Linked DNA regions of Neurospora crassa OR74A. The protein of the gene in region 1 interacts with the protein of each later gene in a biochemical or structural test. Links are inferred from orthologs where the notes say so. Each region holds a gene or a part of one and is shown on either strand. Other genes may lie near its edges.

The links.
Region 2: the proteins of NCU04652 (region 1) and NCU06569 form a complex in vitro, tested with the Saccharomyces cerevisiae proteins (2 studies listed by BioGRID). The link is inferred for Neurospora crassa OR74A from reciprocal best matches to the Saccharomyces cerevisiae genes APL5 and APL6.

The regions. Positions count from the first base shown.
Region 1 is NC_026505.1:1,327,077-1,334,485, reverse strand, and holds NCU04652 (AP-3 complex subunit delta), read left to right. Parts: upstream 1-2,945; 5' UTR 2,946-3,384; coding exon 3,385-3,386; intron 3,387-3,441; coding exon 3,442-3,560; intron 3,561-3,619; coding exon 3,620-4,200; intron 4,201-4,253; coding exon 4,254-4,479; intron 4,480-4,537; coding exon 4,538-6,792; 3' UTR 6,793-6,900; downstream 6,901-7,409. Other genes in the region: NCU04651 (tetratricopeptide repeat domain-containing protein), read right to left, coding at 1,230-1,460, 1,519-1,677, 1,735-1,941, 2,014-2,349; NCU04653 (LCCL domain-containing protein), read right to left, coding at 7,156-7,409. UniProt on the Saccharomyces cerevisiae protein: Part of the AP-3 complex, an adaptor-related complex which is not clathrin-associated. The complex is associated with the Golgi region as well as more peripheral structures.
Region 2 is NC_026504.1:1,657,987-1,665,295, reverse strand, and holds NCU06569 (AP-3 adaptor complex subunit beta), read right to left. Parts: upstream 4,031-7,309; 5' UTR 3,884-4,030; coding exon 3,844-3,883; intron 3,766-3,843; coding exon 3,623-3,765; intron 3,548-3,622; coding exon 1,313-3,547; 3' UTR 919-1,312; downstream 1-918. Other genes in the region: NCU06570 (hypothetical protein), read left to right, coding at 1-307; NCU16765 (hypothetical protein), read left to right, coding at 5,002-5,994; NCU06568 (kinetochore protein nuf2), read right to left, coding at 6,352-6,465, 6,533-7,309. UniProt on the Saccharomyces cerevisiae protein: Part of the AP-3 complex, an adaptor-related complex which is not clathrin-associated. The complex is associated with the Golgi region as well as more peripheral structures.

The DNA.
Region 1 (7,409 bases):
TAGTCTGGTGACGGAAAGGAAACTAAAGACTGGGGAGACAGGGGGGATGGTGGGGATGGGCGACGACCCTCCCTCCGTCGTTGCTGACACACTGCATACCGCCCAAAGATGTCAACAGTACTAGATATTGTGAATCACACATATCGACTCTTCAGACTTTCAAGTGAGGCGATATCAAGAGTCTCCTTCGATAAAGTCTTGTTGAAATGAGTATGTCTTTTAAGTAGTCTTGCTTTCCTCCGTTATTTTTTAAGCTCAGATTGACTTGTGAGAGGGGAGAATGACAGAGTGGTGCTCAGGGCATTCGCATGTAGTGTAGTGTACGCTAACAAGTCAAGACTCGCGCCACGGAGACAGAGACAGACTTGAAGATTCTGGATAATATTATCGGCTGCTGTTCCGGATTGCTTATGAATAAGCATCATCCGACTCGGCGCCGGCCATGCGGCAGAAAGGTTGTGAAACCATTCATGGTGATCTTGAAATCCCATAACTTTTCTTGATTCATTATCATTATTACCAAGGACCGCTTCAAAAGACACCCCCCAGAGTAAGGCATCAACTATTGTCAAGGATACCTCGTCTTGAGTCTGTACATGGTGTTGGAAGAAAGAAAGTGGAAGATGAGCCGGTGTCATGGCCTGGGCTGTTGGCCGGTGACCATGTTGCGATATGTACCGCGCAATGCGTAGAGCCAGTCAGATGTCGTTCCGAGCTGAAACCCGGCCACCAGTTATAGACGCATTTTTCTGCCCAAGAAATTGAGAGAATTTAAAAAAAAAAAAGGGTTCATGAAGGGTTCGGGAGATTTCGCAACCTGCATCAACGCAACAGTCGCGGGCTTGAAGGCGTTCTCTTTCTGGTTGGGCTGAGAACGCCTGCGCCGCCCGTCTTACCACCGGGCAAAGGATCGCCTTTGGGCATCTACTGGCGCCACGTGAAGCCGGACTTCTTGATGCCTTTTCGCTGCCCAAAGACCCACTGCGTCGACTAATGCAGGCAGGAACCAAAGTACCTTGCAAGGATACCAATGATGCTCACTCGCTAGTCCCAGCCATCGTCAAAGAGGCCGTTCCGATTGCGACGATGGCCTTCCATTATATGCGCGGTGGATGTCCGTAACACATTGAAATTGTGCCAAACAACATACATCCAGCGGGCAATGAACATATCGAATCGGTCACTGGACTGAGCGCCGTACCGTTTGCCTCGTTCAATGGCAGCACATCTCACCTCTCAATTCCATTTTGTGAGAGCAGTTCACGGGCAGCTGCAACCTCACGTTCGTCATAGCCGCGCCAGCCTCTGTCCTTCAGAGTGCTATGACGAACGATTTCCGATAGCTTGGCGGTCGCAAGCTCATCGAGACGCTCAATTGTCTTGGGATCAGGCAGAGTGAACTCGCCATCGTCAGTCTGCTTGGCCTGTTTGGCCTGTTCCTTGAGAAGCCTCGTGGTGACCTGGCAGACGGTCAGCACATATTATTTTGTTCGCCCATGACGGCTATCGGAAACTTACTAGCTTCAGCCCATAGTAGCCACGGAGATAGTCGTCGCACAGTTCAATGCTCCGAGCAAACCGCTTGAGCGCCTCGGCCAAGTACTTTTGCTGCGATCCACCGCCACTTCCCGAAGTCGTGGCAGCCATGTACTGCACCTCTCCCAGTCGTGCATGTATCTAGATGGGCTACATTAGCATAGGGCTTGGGCTGTTGGGTGAGGGAGGAGCGCATACGTTCCAGGCATTGGGCGACAGAAGGAGGACCTCTTCCAGGGCGTAGATGGCCTGAGAGTATAGCCCTTGTGTGAAGTAGAGATCCGACAGCTCAGACCAGGCCTCGGCATCGGTTGGGGAGAAGTCGAGGAGTTGTACAAGAGCCGTTGCGGCATCCGAGACGCGACCCATGGATCGTAGGAGGGCGATCCGGCGCTTTGTGATAGGCTGTAGACGTAGACATGGCGGGTTAGCAAATCTGCCGTCCGAGAACAGTTGGCGTAAACGGTCAGGACCCACGAGATTGGTGCTGTTTCCTTCCAGAATGGCATCGTACTGCTTGAGCACCGCTTCCAGCTCTCCGTTGTTCTCGGCCTGGGCCTCGGACAACAAGCCCCTCAAAGCCATGACTCTCTCATTGTCGGGGCCAAACCGTGCCTCCAGCTGATCCATACATTTTGCGGCCGCTTCATCATCGCCGGTTCGGAGGCACGCTAGCAGCAGATTCTCGTATGTTGCCCATTGGTCCACCGTCTCTGATGACGATCCTTGCAAGACAACGGGAGCTTGCTGTGCGAGTTGGAGAGCTTCCGAAGGAGGGAGCTTGGCCGGGTTGAAGAGCAGGGAGGGCGCCATTGTGTATATTCGATTTAGTTGGATAATCGTATAGTGGTCGGGGTTCGCACCGGACCAAGAATCACGTCGCTCGTCAAGGTTGAAAGGAACCACCAGTATGTCGTGACTTTGTAAACCGCTGATTGACAATTGGCGCAAGTATGATGGAGGCAATCGAAGTCTCGGCTTTAGCTTGTGGTCTGGAAGCTGTCGTCAAATGATGGAAGAGGAGAAGTTGATGGCCGGGGAAACTGAAGCTTCCACTTCTCTGGCGTCAATCTGTACAATGCTGGACGCTGGTAGACGTCGCGCGGCGAGCACTGCAAGCTGGAGCTGAATGCCCGCCCAGGCACTCCATGGATGGGTAGAGGTAGGTGGGGCAAGCATGTGGAGCTTCTCGTTTGGAGCTCTCACTGTGTCATAGCTGCTCTTTCAGCGGTAAAACAGCTGGACAGACAGTGCAATCTGGGGTTTTAGGGGACAGTCGCAAACTGTACCACTGCATCCTCACCTCAAAGCACAGGCAGGCAGAGAGAGGTCAGTCAGTTCAGAGGGCAGCCAGTGACGTGAGATAGCACGACCAGGACGGGGAGGGTGCCACATTTGTGAACCCACCACGGACATCGGATCTCCAGCAGCAGCGTCGTTGACGGCCATTGCCTTTCCAAACCAAGATCCGTCAAGCGTGTTTCGACGACGACGCCGACGACGACGACGACGACAAGTAAACCCAACGGCGTGACGACGAGAAGCGCATTTACTTACAACCCTCGACCCGGGTGGCGCCCACAGCATCTCCCAGCTCCCCCAACTACGGCCGCGGCAAGATGCGTCGAGTTGCGGTTCAGTCCAGACACAGCAACACCTCGTCCCCGTCGCCTCGCTATACCTCCAGCTTATACTAGACTTGTAAACACTTTCGATTCCTGTCACCCAAGTGGAAGTTCTACGCGAACCGATTGCTACCCTTGCGCCGCCAGCGTCAGGCCTCCCCAACTTCGATATAGTCCTCACAACACTGGGAACATCGGCAGTTGGGCCACCACAACCGCAACCATGTGCGTCAAGCTCCGGCTTCCGTCTGCACGAGTCGACTTAGCTGATGCCCCCTAGGTTCGAAAAGTCGCTGTACGACCTCATCCGAGGTCTGCGTAACCACAAGGGAAACGAAAAGGAGTACATCCAGAACTGTCTGAAAGAATGTCGTTCCGAGATCAAAAGCCAAGACATGGGTTCGTCCCTCTTGTGTTGTTGCGCCCGTTCAGTTGCTTTCGCTAACACATGCGCAAAGATGTCAAGGCCACGGCCCTCCTCAAGATCATCTACCTCGAGATGAACGGCCATGACATGTCGTGGGCTTCCTTCCATGTCCTCGAGGTCATGTCCTCGCCAAAATACCACCAGAAGCGCGTTGGATATCTCGGCGCCGTCCAGAGCTTCAAGACCGATACCGAAGTGCTCATGCTAGCCACCAACCTCCTCAAGAAGGACCTCTCGGCCTCCTCCCCGATCGTCATCTCACTCCCCATTGCTGCGCTGCCGCATATCATCACGCCCTCCCTTGCCCTTTCTGTACTAGCAGACCTACTGCCGCGTCTCAGTCACTCGCATTCGGCTATCAGGAAGAAGACCATTGTTACACTATACAGACTAGCCCTGGTATACCCAGAGACCCTCCGAGCAGCATGGCCAAAAATTAAGGAGCGACTTATGGACAAGCACGAGGATCCGAGCGTGACAGCAGCCATTGTGAACGTGGTGTGTGAACTCGGCTGGCGGAGACCCCAGGATTTCTTGCCCCTGGCTCCGCGCCTGTTCGAGCTCTTGGTAGATGGGGGTAACAACTGGATGGCGATAAAGTTGATCAAACTGGTAGGAGGAAACCTGGAGTTCCCACTTGACGGCGTCTTTGCTAACTTGCGCAGTTTGCAACCCTCACCCCTCTAGAGCCGCGTCTCGTTCGCAAGCTTCTGCCGCCCCTGACCGATCTGATCCGAACAACGCCAGCAATGTCCCTGTTATACGAATGTATCAACGGCATCATACAAGGAGGAATCCTTGGAGACTCTGAAGATGATGGCAGGGAAGAGATTGCTAGTCTGTGTGTTTCAAAGCTTCGAGGCATGATTACTTTCAACGGTGATGCCAACTGTGAGTACCTTTACCGCTTGCCTTTGTCTGTACAATTCTCACCATGTTATTCGCTCAGTGAAATATGTGGCTCTGTTAGCCTTCAACAGAATCGTGGTCACGCACCCGTTCCTTGTTGCCCAACAAGAGGACGTGATCATGGAGTGCATCGACAGCGAAGACATAACCATCAGGATCAAGGCTCTAGACCTGGTACAAGGGATGGTCAGCAGCGATAACCTGGTATCCATTGTCAGCCGGCTTATGAGGCAGCTGAAAACGTCCACAAACCCGAACAATGATCAGTTGGATGATCTGTCAACCGACTCGAGTGAAGAGATGGGCGCTGAACGACGGTCCCGGAAACGAGATGAGGCGCCTCCTCTCCCCGAAGACTATACGATTGACGTTATTGGCAGGATCCTCAAGATGTGCTCGCAAAACAACTACTCCAGTGTGGTCGACTTTGACTGGTACATCGACGTACTTACACAACTTATCCGGATTGCTCCGGCGTCTCGTAAGGAGCTTGACTCGGACGGCATGGCACTGGGGCCGAAATCTACCACGGCCGATATTTCGGAGAGTATTGGTAATGAGCTCAGAAACGTGGCCGTTAAGGTGAAAGCAGTGAGAGCTGCCGCTGTCCGGGCTGCCGAGCTTATTATTGCAAAGCTATCGATGGAGACCACGTCACACCAAGTGATATCAGGTTCACTGAAGCCTGTTGCCTGGATCGCCGGAGAATACGCAAATCTGCTCTCAAATCCAAGCGACACACTCAATCACCTGTTACAGTTAATACCGCGTATCAGACCCTCCGAGGTTCTCGCAACCTGCCTGCAGGCCTCCATGAAGCTGTTCGCGCTGATTGCTGGTAACGACCAAACATACTGGACAGCAGAACGAAAGTCCATGGTATCTCTGCTCATGGCGCGAGTCATCCATACATACGAGCCCCTAGTGCTTCATCCATCTCTTGAAGTCCAGGAACGCGCGGTTGAGTTTACTGAGCTCTTGAAGCTCACCGCCGAGGCAGCATCGGCACAGGCGTCATCAACGGACGAACTCGAACAAGACCCGCCCCTCCTTCTCACACAGGCGATACCCTCTCTCTTCCAGGGTTGGGAGCTGAACTCCGTCGCAGTTGGCGCTCAGCTGAATGTTCCGATGCCAGAGGGCCTAGACCTGGACGAGCCTATTCATCCCAACCTCAGCAGCCTGCTGGCGCAAGCGGACTCATTGATGCTTCCCATCCAGGAAGACGACGAATTCTCAGCTTACTACAACGAAAAGGCAGCACCAACCAGCATCTCCAGCGAGCCAGCAATAAACAGACTACGGGACGCTCCCGAGACGACATCGGGCTCCTACCAGCAAGCGACAGAGGATAGCTACCTTGACGCAGACATCATCGCCCGTCGCAAGGCCGAACGAGCAGAGCGCAACCGTGACGACCCTTTCTACATCGGCGACCTAGGCAGTCCCTCTCGCTCACAAGGCACTTCCACCCCAATACACAACATTCTGCAGAACGAAAACGGCCCCGACCTCGACATCGACTCCATTCCCATTATGAAGCTCGACCTTGGCGCCATCAGCTCCTCCGGCGTCGGCGGCGCCCCCGGAACACCCCAGCGATCCAAGGCACCCAAATCACGCCCACAAATCGTCGTCGCCGCAGACGAAACACTCGTCGGCAGCCGTCCGTCCACCCCGCGGACGGGAAGCCAGCATGACTCGGACGCGGATCCGTCTAGCGCGAGCGCCAAGTCCCGCGCAGCACGGAAGCTCAAGCAGTCCCTTTTGCAGGTGGATTCCAGCCACTTGCGCAACCTCAGCCTCGAAGCCAGCCATTCTGAGGATTCTGGTGGCGGTGCTCTCCCGCACGAAAAGCTCGCGGAGACAGACGCGGAAATGGCAAAGGCCATGAAGGAAGTCCAGCGGTTGAGGCTGGAGATGCAGAGGGCTAATGAGAGGATACACGTCGCTCAAGGGGTGCCGACAGAGGGGGTGGTGGTGAAGAGCAAGAAGAAGAAGGAGGGGAAGAAGGCCAAGTCCAAGTCGAAATCGGAAGAAGATGGTGCTGGGGCTGGTGAAGATGAGAAGGAGAAGAAGGTGGTGAAGAAGAAGAAAAAGAAGGCGGAGACGGAGGTGGCAGAGGGAGGAGGGGAAGGAGCACCGGTGGGTGGAGAGGGAGAGGGAGAGGCGGTGATTACTGTAAAAAAGAAGGAGAAAGAAAAGGTCAAGAAGAAGAAGCCAAAGAGGATTATACAGCTTGGTGATGAGGATGCTGGTGGGACTGGAGCTGGAGCTGAAGCTGGTGAGCCATAGGTTACAGGCAAGTCACAATGTGGAGGGGATAAATAGAATACTGAGGTCAATTAATGGTTATGAATTGTCTGTATGAACGTTCCCTTGGTGGGACTCAAAGTGAGATCGAAAATCTGGTTGTGAGCGACGATACTGCCAAAAAGAACAAGCAAACAGAACTGATCACTCTTCGCCCTATTGTCGAGTAGCGAAGTCGTCAAAAAGGGCAGATAGGGAAAAGTTGCCAAACATTCACTCAAGCAAACCATCACAAAGATCACCTTTCATCTTCCAAATCATAGTAATTCGTCCTATCGATTCACAGGGGCGAATCATAGCCATATATGTACTTTATATCCAAGATATAGGTATCATGTCATCTCATCAAGCTAACCTCTTCCTCCCATCCTCCTCCTTCTCCTCTTCCGTAAAACCCCTCTTCTTCACCCTCGACGGCCCCGGAGCCATCGCAATCCACTCCCCCTCCCTCGTCCACACCCCCGCCTTGGTATAGTCCTCGCTCTTGTACCCCTGCATCCACGCAAACCTAAAGTACTCATTATCTCTCCCCACTTCCTCTCCTTCCCTCGTCCACGTAAAGTCAGAGGGCGCATTCTTGTCGAACTCATCATCGCTAA
Region 2 (7,309 bases), on another chromosome or scaffold:
CTTGTTCTCCGTGGCCATAGTCCCGGCGGCTGTGGTGGTGGTGATGATAACAAGTTGCTTCATCACGTTCATCGTCTTAGGAGGCATATGCATGATTGGTTATAGGATCATCATCATCTTTTCCCACGTGCGAGAATTTGTGCGTCGGCGCGGGATGGTGGCCGCTGGCGGCAACAACGACGACGACTACGAACTCATTGACACCCGACTGGCGTTCGGCGATCAACAACTCGATCGAAAATACTTAGGAGCAGCACCAACAGTACTTGCACCAGCAGCACCAACCGCACCAGCAGGAGGAGAATGATGAGGATATGGCAGAACGGAGGCGCAGAAGTAACGCACCGACTTCGACTTCGTCACGGGCGTCCATTGATACTCTTTCTCTCTCCTGATTCTTTCCTCCTCCGGTTATTCTCCTCCCTATTGGTCTCATCATTCTTGTCCGCTTTCTTATTCATGCCCTGGGTGTGGGAGGGGTGAGACGGACGGGTGGTACATACCGAAGGCGAAGAGGACTGGGGATTTTGCAAACCTCCCACAATTTAGCAGACCGACTTGCTGGTGGTGGTGGTGGTGAGTCTGCTGGGTTACCTACTTGACCGAGATTTGGGAAATGGAAAGCAACGATGAGGCTAGGATGACAATTGCGGCGGAGGGAAAGGAAGACGGATCACCGGCATTCAGAAAGGAGGCAAGGCAATACATTGGAGGGACTGTGCGGTTGGTTGTATCATGATTCTCAGGATGAATGCTTCTTTATGCAGGAAGGGGTGGAAACTGAAGTGGAACCATCATCGTTTTTCCTTTCAGGACATGAAAACCGGGACGTGTCCGGACGGGGGCCCGTTAGTCAAGTTCCAAATTTGGGATCGAGGAAACGAGACGGCGAGAAATGAGCTATATCAAGCAATACATGACGACTTCTTTTCTAAATTGTGAATAAAGTGGATCGCTAAAGACGCTCTTGGTGCTCGTCGTACTTGATATGTTTCTTGTTGTTTCCATTTCCCTGAGTCTGGTCGGTATCGAGTGGAACTAAATGGTATTATTTGCAACATAAGTTGGCACAACAATCAGATTGGATGCCATCTTGTATAGGGGAGGAATACAACTTAATATCCTTCTCTTTCTTCTTCTTCTGGACAGAAAAGAGGATGTGTCGGAAAACTCGGGAAGGAAATTCATGGACTCGTGACTATGAGGAGGACCAGGATGAACAGAAGCAGCATAGCTTGCATATCGTAAATTATGAGGTATTCTTCCATGTCAGTTGACCATTCAATTCATACTGGTATCAAGTAGTTGGATGTCATGCCCCCATCAGCCTCGCGTCTTCGGCCTCGTCATCATCAGACTCCTCCTCTTCCGATGAACTCTCTTCCTCTTCTTCTTCATCGTCTTCCTCCTCTTCTTCTTCTTCTTCTTCATCATCATCTTCTTCTTCCTCAGTGGTTTCCCCTTCCTCATCCTCCTCTTCACTCTCCTCCACAACCTGCCGTTGCACAGGTGCTGACACTGGCACCGCCTTCTTACTGATATCCTCCTCCTCCGCAAGCCAATCATCAAGTGTCTTGGTCCCTACTCCCTCACCCAGACCATTAGACTTCGTAGGCACTGATCTAGACGACCCACCGTCCAAAATCTCCAAAGCTGGTACGACTCTCTTCTCGCCGTACGTCGCGGTTGGTGGCACACCTGTCTCTCTCAGTCTCGGATCCGGCTGCTTGCCCTCTTCGACCCAATCGGGCAAGTCCTCGTAGCCCCTGACGCCGTGAACACCGGCGGCATCGGCGAGGACCAGGGCTGAAGAGCCAAGGGTATACCCACGCCTCATCTCCGAGGGACTTTGCGCTTGGGGCGCAGGCTTAGGCGCGAGCAGCATGAGGGTTGCGAGCTGGGGTACGCCGAGCAATGCTTTGTAGAGACGAGTGCGATCACGGAGATCGTAAGAGGTATCGTAGCGAGCCAGGAGGAGCACATAACTCCATAGCTTTGCAATTGGATGGTCATCGTCTTCGAGAAGCTTGGGTGGAGGACCCGGTTCGCCATCGGCATTTTGTGATGCTTCAATCTGTCGGTTGAGGTAGTGTAGGTAGACCTTGGCGCCGAGAAGGATGATTTGTCGTTTGGCGATTTCGGACTCGGAGGGAAAGTCCTTGAGCAGAATCCGAAGCACGTCAGGGGCGATGTTCTCTTCTCCGTTGAGACCGGAGAACTCGCCTACGAGCCAGATAATGGTGGCACGAGCGTGTGGGTCGGTGGCCGAGTCCAAGTTCTTTGCCAGCCTTATGACCGTAGCGACGTGTGCAGTTGGGTCCTGCTGGATTAGATGTCGTATCACTGTCAAGCTCTCTGCGGCCAGCGTGCCGTCCAAGCTAGTGATTTGACTGAGAAGCAACCGCAGACACCTAGGTGCAGCTGTTGTGTCTGTTACCGCGCAGCGGCCAATAGCCCTAACTGCCTCCCTAACCAGCGCCTTATCGGTTCCTCGGCTGAAGTGCTCAAGCTCGTTGAGAATAAGGCTCTTGACATGGAGAGGAGCATGTGGGAAGATGAGTGTCAAAAGCTCCAGCTTGAGTTCCCATATGGGTTGTGTATCCGTTGCACGCACTAGGAAATGCGAGGCATAGCGCACGAAATCGGCAGGCCGGGTAAGGCAAATGGATACGATGTTGTAGAGTGCAACCTGTTGGATATCCTGAGCGCCTCGTAGCAAAGCTATCAATGGCCCGATGGCTGTCTTGACATACTCGGGCGTGCCTACTGCATCGTAACAGCGTGCTACTGAAACCACAACGCCTGAGTTTCGTGATTGGAGGAGGGGTTTGATGCTGTTGAGGAGCAGCTCGAGATCAGGGTCGAGAACAATAACCTCCTGGCCCTCGGCGTCATTATTCGAGCTGGCGGCGGCGTTATCACCGTAAAAGTCCTGAAGATCGGCCGCCTTGTCCTGGGCTTTCACCATCCGGGTTCGTCGAGGGAAGCATTTTCGCGCATAAACTGTCATAAGCCGCAGTGTCGAGAGCTGGCTCCATTCATCCATATCCACCACCATCTTGACTAACTGCCTGTAATGCTTGTGTATCAAGTCCAATCTGTCCGGACAGATCTCCAGAAAGGCTGTAACGGCGGCACCTGCCACATAATACTGCTTGTCGCCTAAGAGAGTCGAGAGATATTCGAGCAGTGAGGGCATTTGGGATGGGTCGAGTCGGTAACACTTGGGGATGGCCAAGGCAGCGGCTCGGCGCACATAGGGGTTGATGTCTCCGGCGCCCTTCTTGATGGCCAACGACACAATCTGGCTGATAACGGGAACCCGTATGTTGGACATTGTGCGTAGAGCCAAGGCGCGCACTTGAGGGTTGGAATCGGAAAGCGACTTCTGGATGGTGTTGATGGATAGCAAGGCAAGGTCGGGGTCCTCCTCGGCATGGTGGATCAAATAGATGTAGACCAGCTTCTTGATCTCGATATTCGGAGAGGCGACGTTCTTGACGACGGAGGAGAACAGAGGGTGTGTCCTTTGCGAGCGGTACATCATCTAGAAGACATGCGCCCGAGCTGTTAGCACTTGCTCCCATGGCCACCAAACCATATGTATGGGGTAAAAACATACCGAGATGACCCGACGCAGACCGTCCAGCACTTCTCGTTCATTGCGACTGTCGAGGAGTTTCTTAACCTGAACGCGATCGAGAGGCTTGGACGAGCTGCGGGCGCTGCGGGCGGCCGAGGCGGCATCGAGGGTGAGCTCTCGGGCTGGAGTAGAGACAGACGCCGTGGTCAGCAAGCAGGAGGACACGGTGATAACCTGAAGAGGGATGGAGTTAAGCTTACCGCTTTCTAGCAGCGACGAAATCCTGGCTATCGATTCCATGTTGGGTCAGTGACTGTTATCCAGCGCACTGAGCTCGCTGTTTCGGGGAGCACGTTTGAGTGTTGCGATGATCAGTTGGAATGGACAAAGTTAGGATCCCGGTGCCCAGCAGTGGGTGGTGAGCTGTGACGTGATGCACGGACGGCCTGGAGCTGTGGTGGATTGGGGAATAGCGGGGAATCCGTAGCAGGCCTACCTCGCAGCTATGTACCCGATACTACCTACCTTGCTGACCACCCGATCTCTCACCTACCCTCCACTTATACACAGACATCACAAGCGGGACATCCATCATCTTCCTACCTCTACGGCCTCACAACACAATGCAATCCAAAGTGAAACAATACCTGACAGACTCACATCAGGCTTCCGACACGGCGGCGATGCCACCCAACCGTCGTTAAGCCAGCTGACAACTCTCGACCGACGAGATTATCGAGGATTTCCAGATGTTGAACTCAGATGCTCGATTCAATTATATGTCCAAAACCCGTTTATGGCTTGATGATTCCGATGAACATTTTTTTCCTTACCATAGGAGATGGTAAAATCACCCCTTTCCACACTTGAAGGTACCCGATAGATCTACGCTCTCCATTTCACGGTTTTCCCCCGTTAATAAGACCGGATAACGGGAGCATTCAAGTGGTGTCTTTCATGTCGAGCTGACAGGTGGTTGAGTGCTCGAGCTGCCTTGATTGTTACCTCTAGTCGTTATGCACGATCCAAGCATATGCATATAGGCGTGTATTCTTTTCAATCGAATCTCCCCAGGTTTTAGCTTCCACTTTTGCCGTCCGCGGGAGGACCCCTATCATCCCGGGTCCGAACAAACACCTTGACCATATGGATCGGGACGGCCGCCACCGCGATACAAGCGGAACTCAGCCCTATCCGAGACCCGCGATGTGATACCTTAAAGTTTAGAAACAAACCTCACAAGTGGAACGCCTTCTGCAGCGTGCATGTGAGACGACAACCAATGCATTTTCATTCCTCGAATACCAAAATCTCAAACGGAGCTCACTCCCCCCACACGCACATATTTGCTGGTTGCGCAATCGCAAGTCGTGGCCAACGTTTTTTCCTGTCGTGAAAGCTACCAAGCGACCAATGTCATGGACTCTTCTCAGTCTCAGGCTCAACCTCAGCCTCTCTTCTGCTCCCCGGCATTTCCCTCTGAGCTGCTCTGGTACATCATCCACCACTGCAGTTATCCCACCACCTTGATCGTCTGCTCCAGCCGACTCGAATTTCTCACAGCTTTGGCTAGGGATATCAGGCAAAGCCAAGAAGATGACGACAAGTCACAGGGTCAAGAGCAAGAAGAGTGGCAAAGTTCACCTCAACCAGACCAAGACAAGATACCGACAGATTCAAAACAAGACCAAAAGGAAGCCCAAGAGTTACAACGGGAAATCCCGTGGCCCAGTAATCAACAACAACCGGCAGCAACAGCTCAGTCAACACAAGATGAACCCACCAAAACAACAAGCACCACCCCGGCGGCCAAAATCACCCCGGGCCCTTGGGCCTCCCAACTCCTCGCCTCCCCCCTCTACCAAGTCGCCGTAGCACGACACATCCGCATAGTCTTCGTTCCCACCGTGTCCCACCTGCGCGCCTTTCTCTCTGTCTTTGATACCAATCATAACAGTACCAACACCAACAAGGTTCCCACCCCTCCTCCTCCTCATCCGTCGACTTATAACCCCTTACCAAACCAGCAAGCACGTCCACAACCTCAACAGCTATTATTAGTCTACGGCTTTCTAGCCTTACATCGTGATTCGAGCGAGTGGAGCGTGCAAGGGCTGAACACCACGGCTGCTGTATTGCTGGAGACGGGGAGGAGGGTTGGGTTGGGGGTTGTGGTTGTTGAGCCAGTTTGGTATGATGAGAGTCTGAGGAGCCTGGATGATTTGCTTGGGGAGAAGATGCCAGTTGTGAGCGGGAGTGCTTTGAGAGGCGCAGGAGGGGATCTTGAGAGAAGTGTTGGTGGTGGGTTGATTGGGAGGACGGTGGATGTTAGGAGGGTATTGGGTCGATGGTTCCAGTTTGGGTTTGGGGAGTGGGAAAGGGAAAGGCAAAGAGATCGTTTGTTCAGTTGAGGATGGTTGGTCATTGCAGGAAAGAGAATATGAGGGTCGTATAGTGTTCAGTACACAGAGCACGGCAGAAAGAAATTTGTAATCGTAAGAGTTCGTGGTCTCATTCAGTGTTACAACTTTTGATGCCTCCTAAAAGGGTATGAAAGGCAAAGATTACCACACCCAACCTTTCCAGCCTGCTGGGAACTAAACCGAAACGCCACTCCATGGTATCCATACATGCTCCAGAAACCTCTTATGCCAAACAAAACCTCGATGCTTTACCCGTGAACCAATGCGGTGCAGTACACTGTACGTTAAACAAGAACAAGTGTGCGAACAAAAGGGTATAAAACATATCCACCAATAAACGCTCGCTCAGATGGCCTGCTCCATCTCGGTAATGTACAGCTTGATGTGTGCCTCCATCTTGAGGTACTCGTCGTGGGCAGCGTGGACTTCGTTTTCAATGTTCTCTTTCAAGTCGAGCATCTAGTTGAGGGCACAACTGGTTAGCATCTCTCCTCATTTCTTTTCTTTCAGTCCAGCTTAAACGTACCTTCTTCTCCGTCTGCTCGATTCTCACTCTCCTCCTCTCAATATCCTTGCCCTTCTCCGACCTCTCCTCGGTCAACTTCCTATGCACCGCCCTCAACTCCTCCATCTTCTCCATGGCCTTTTGCGCCTTCTCCTCGCTCTGCGTTCGCAGCTGCGCCGTGCGATCGACCCACTTGGCCAATTGCCTCTTGAGCAGCGCCTCGGTACGCTCCACCTCTCTAACATTGTGTCCCCGCTCCGTGAGCGCGTCTCTCTGCCTTGCGTTCTTAACGTTCTCCTCTTCTTCCTTGGCCAGCTCGATCGCGATCTCTTCCAACAGCTTGATGCATGATGCCACGTCCGATGCCACCACGCTGAACGAGTCCGTTGACGTCTGGAGAGCTCTTGATCGCCTGTCCAGCGCATCAATATGTGCCTTATCGTTGTTCAGCGTGTTGCTCAGCTCCGCCAAACTAGCCTGCAGCGCCGACGGGCTCTGGAGCACATAAGGCCGGAGTTTTGCACTCTCCTGCTTGAGCGCAATTTTGGTAGCCGTCTTTTCCTCCAACTCTGCCGCCAACTCGCCCTTCTTGGTCTTGGCCTCCTCCAACCTCGCGGCCACCTTCTCCTGGCTTCGCCTGAGCTCCAGCAGCCGCTTCTTGAGCTCCTCATTGCGCACCGTCTTCTCCTGAACCAGCACTTCCATTGCCCTACGATTGTGTCTCATCTCCTCCAACTGCGCCTCCATATTCTGGTTCTCGACATACAGCTGCTCGATACGCGCCTTTGTCTGCTCAGC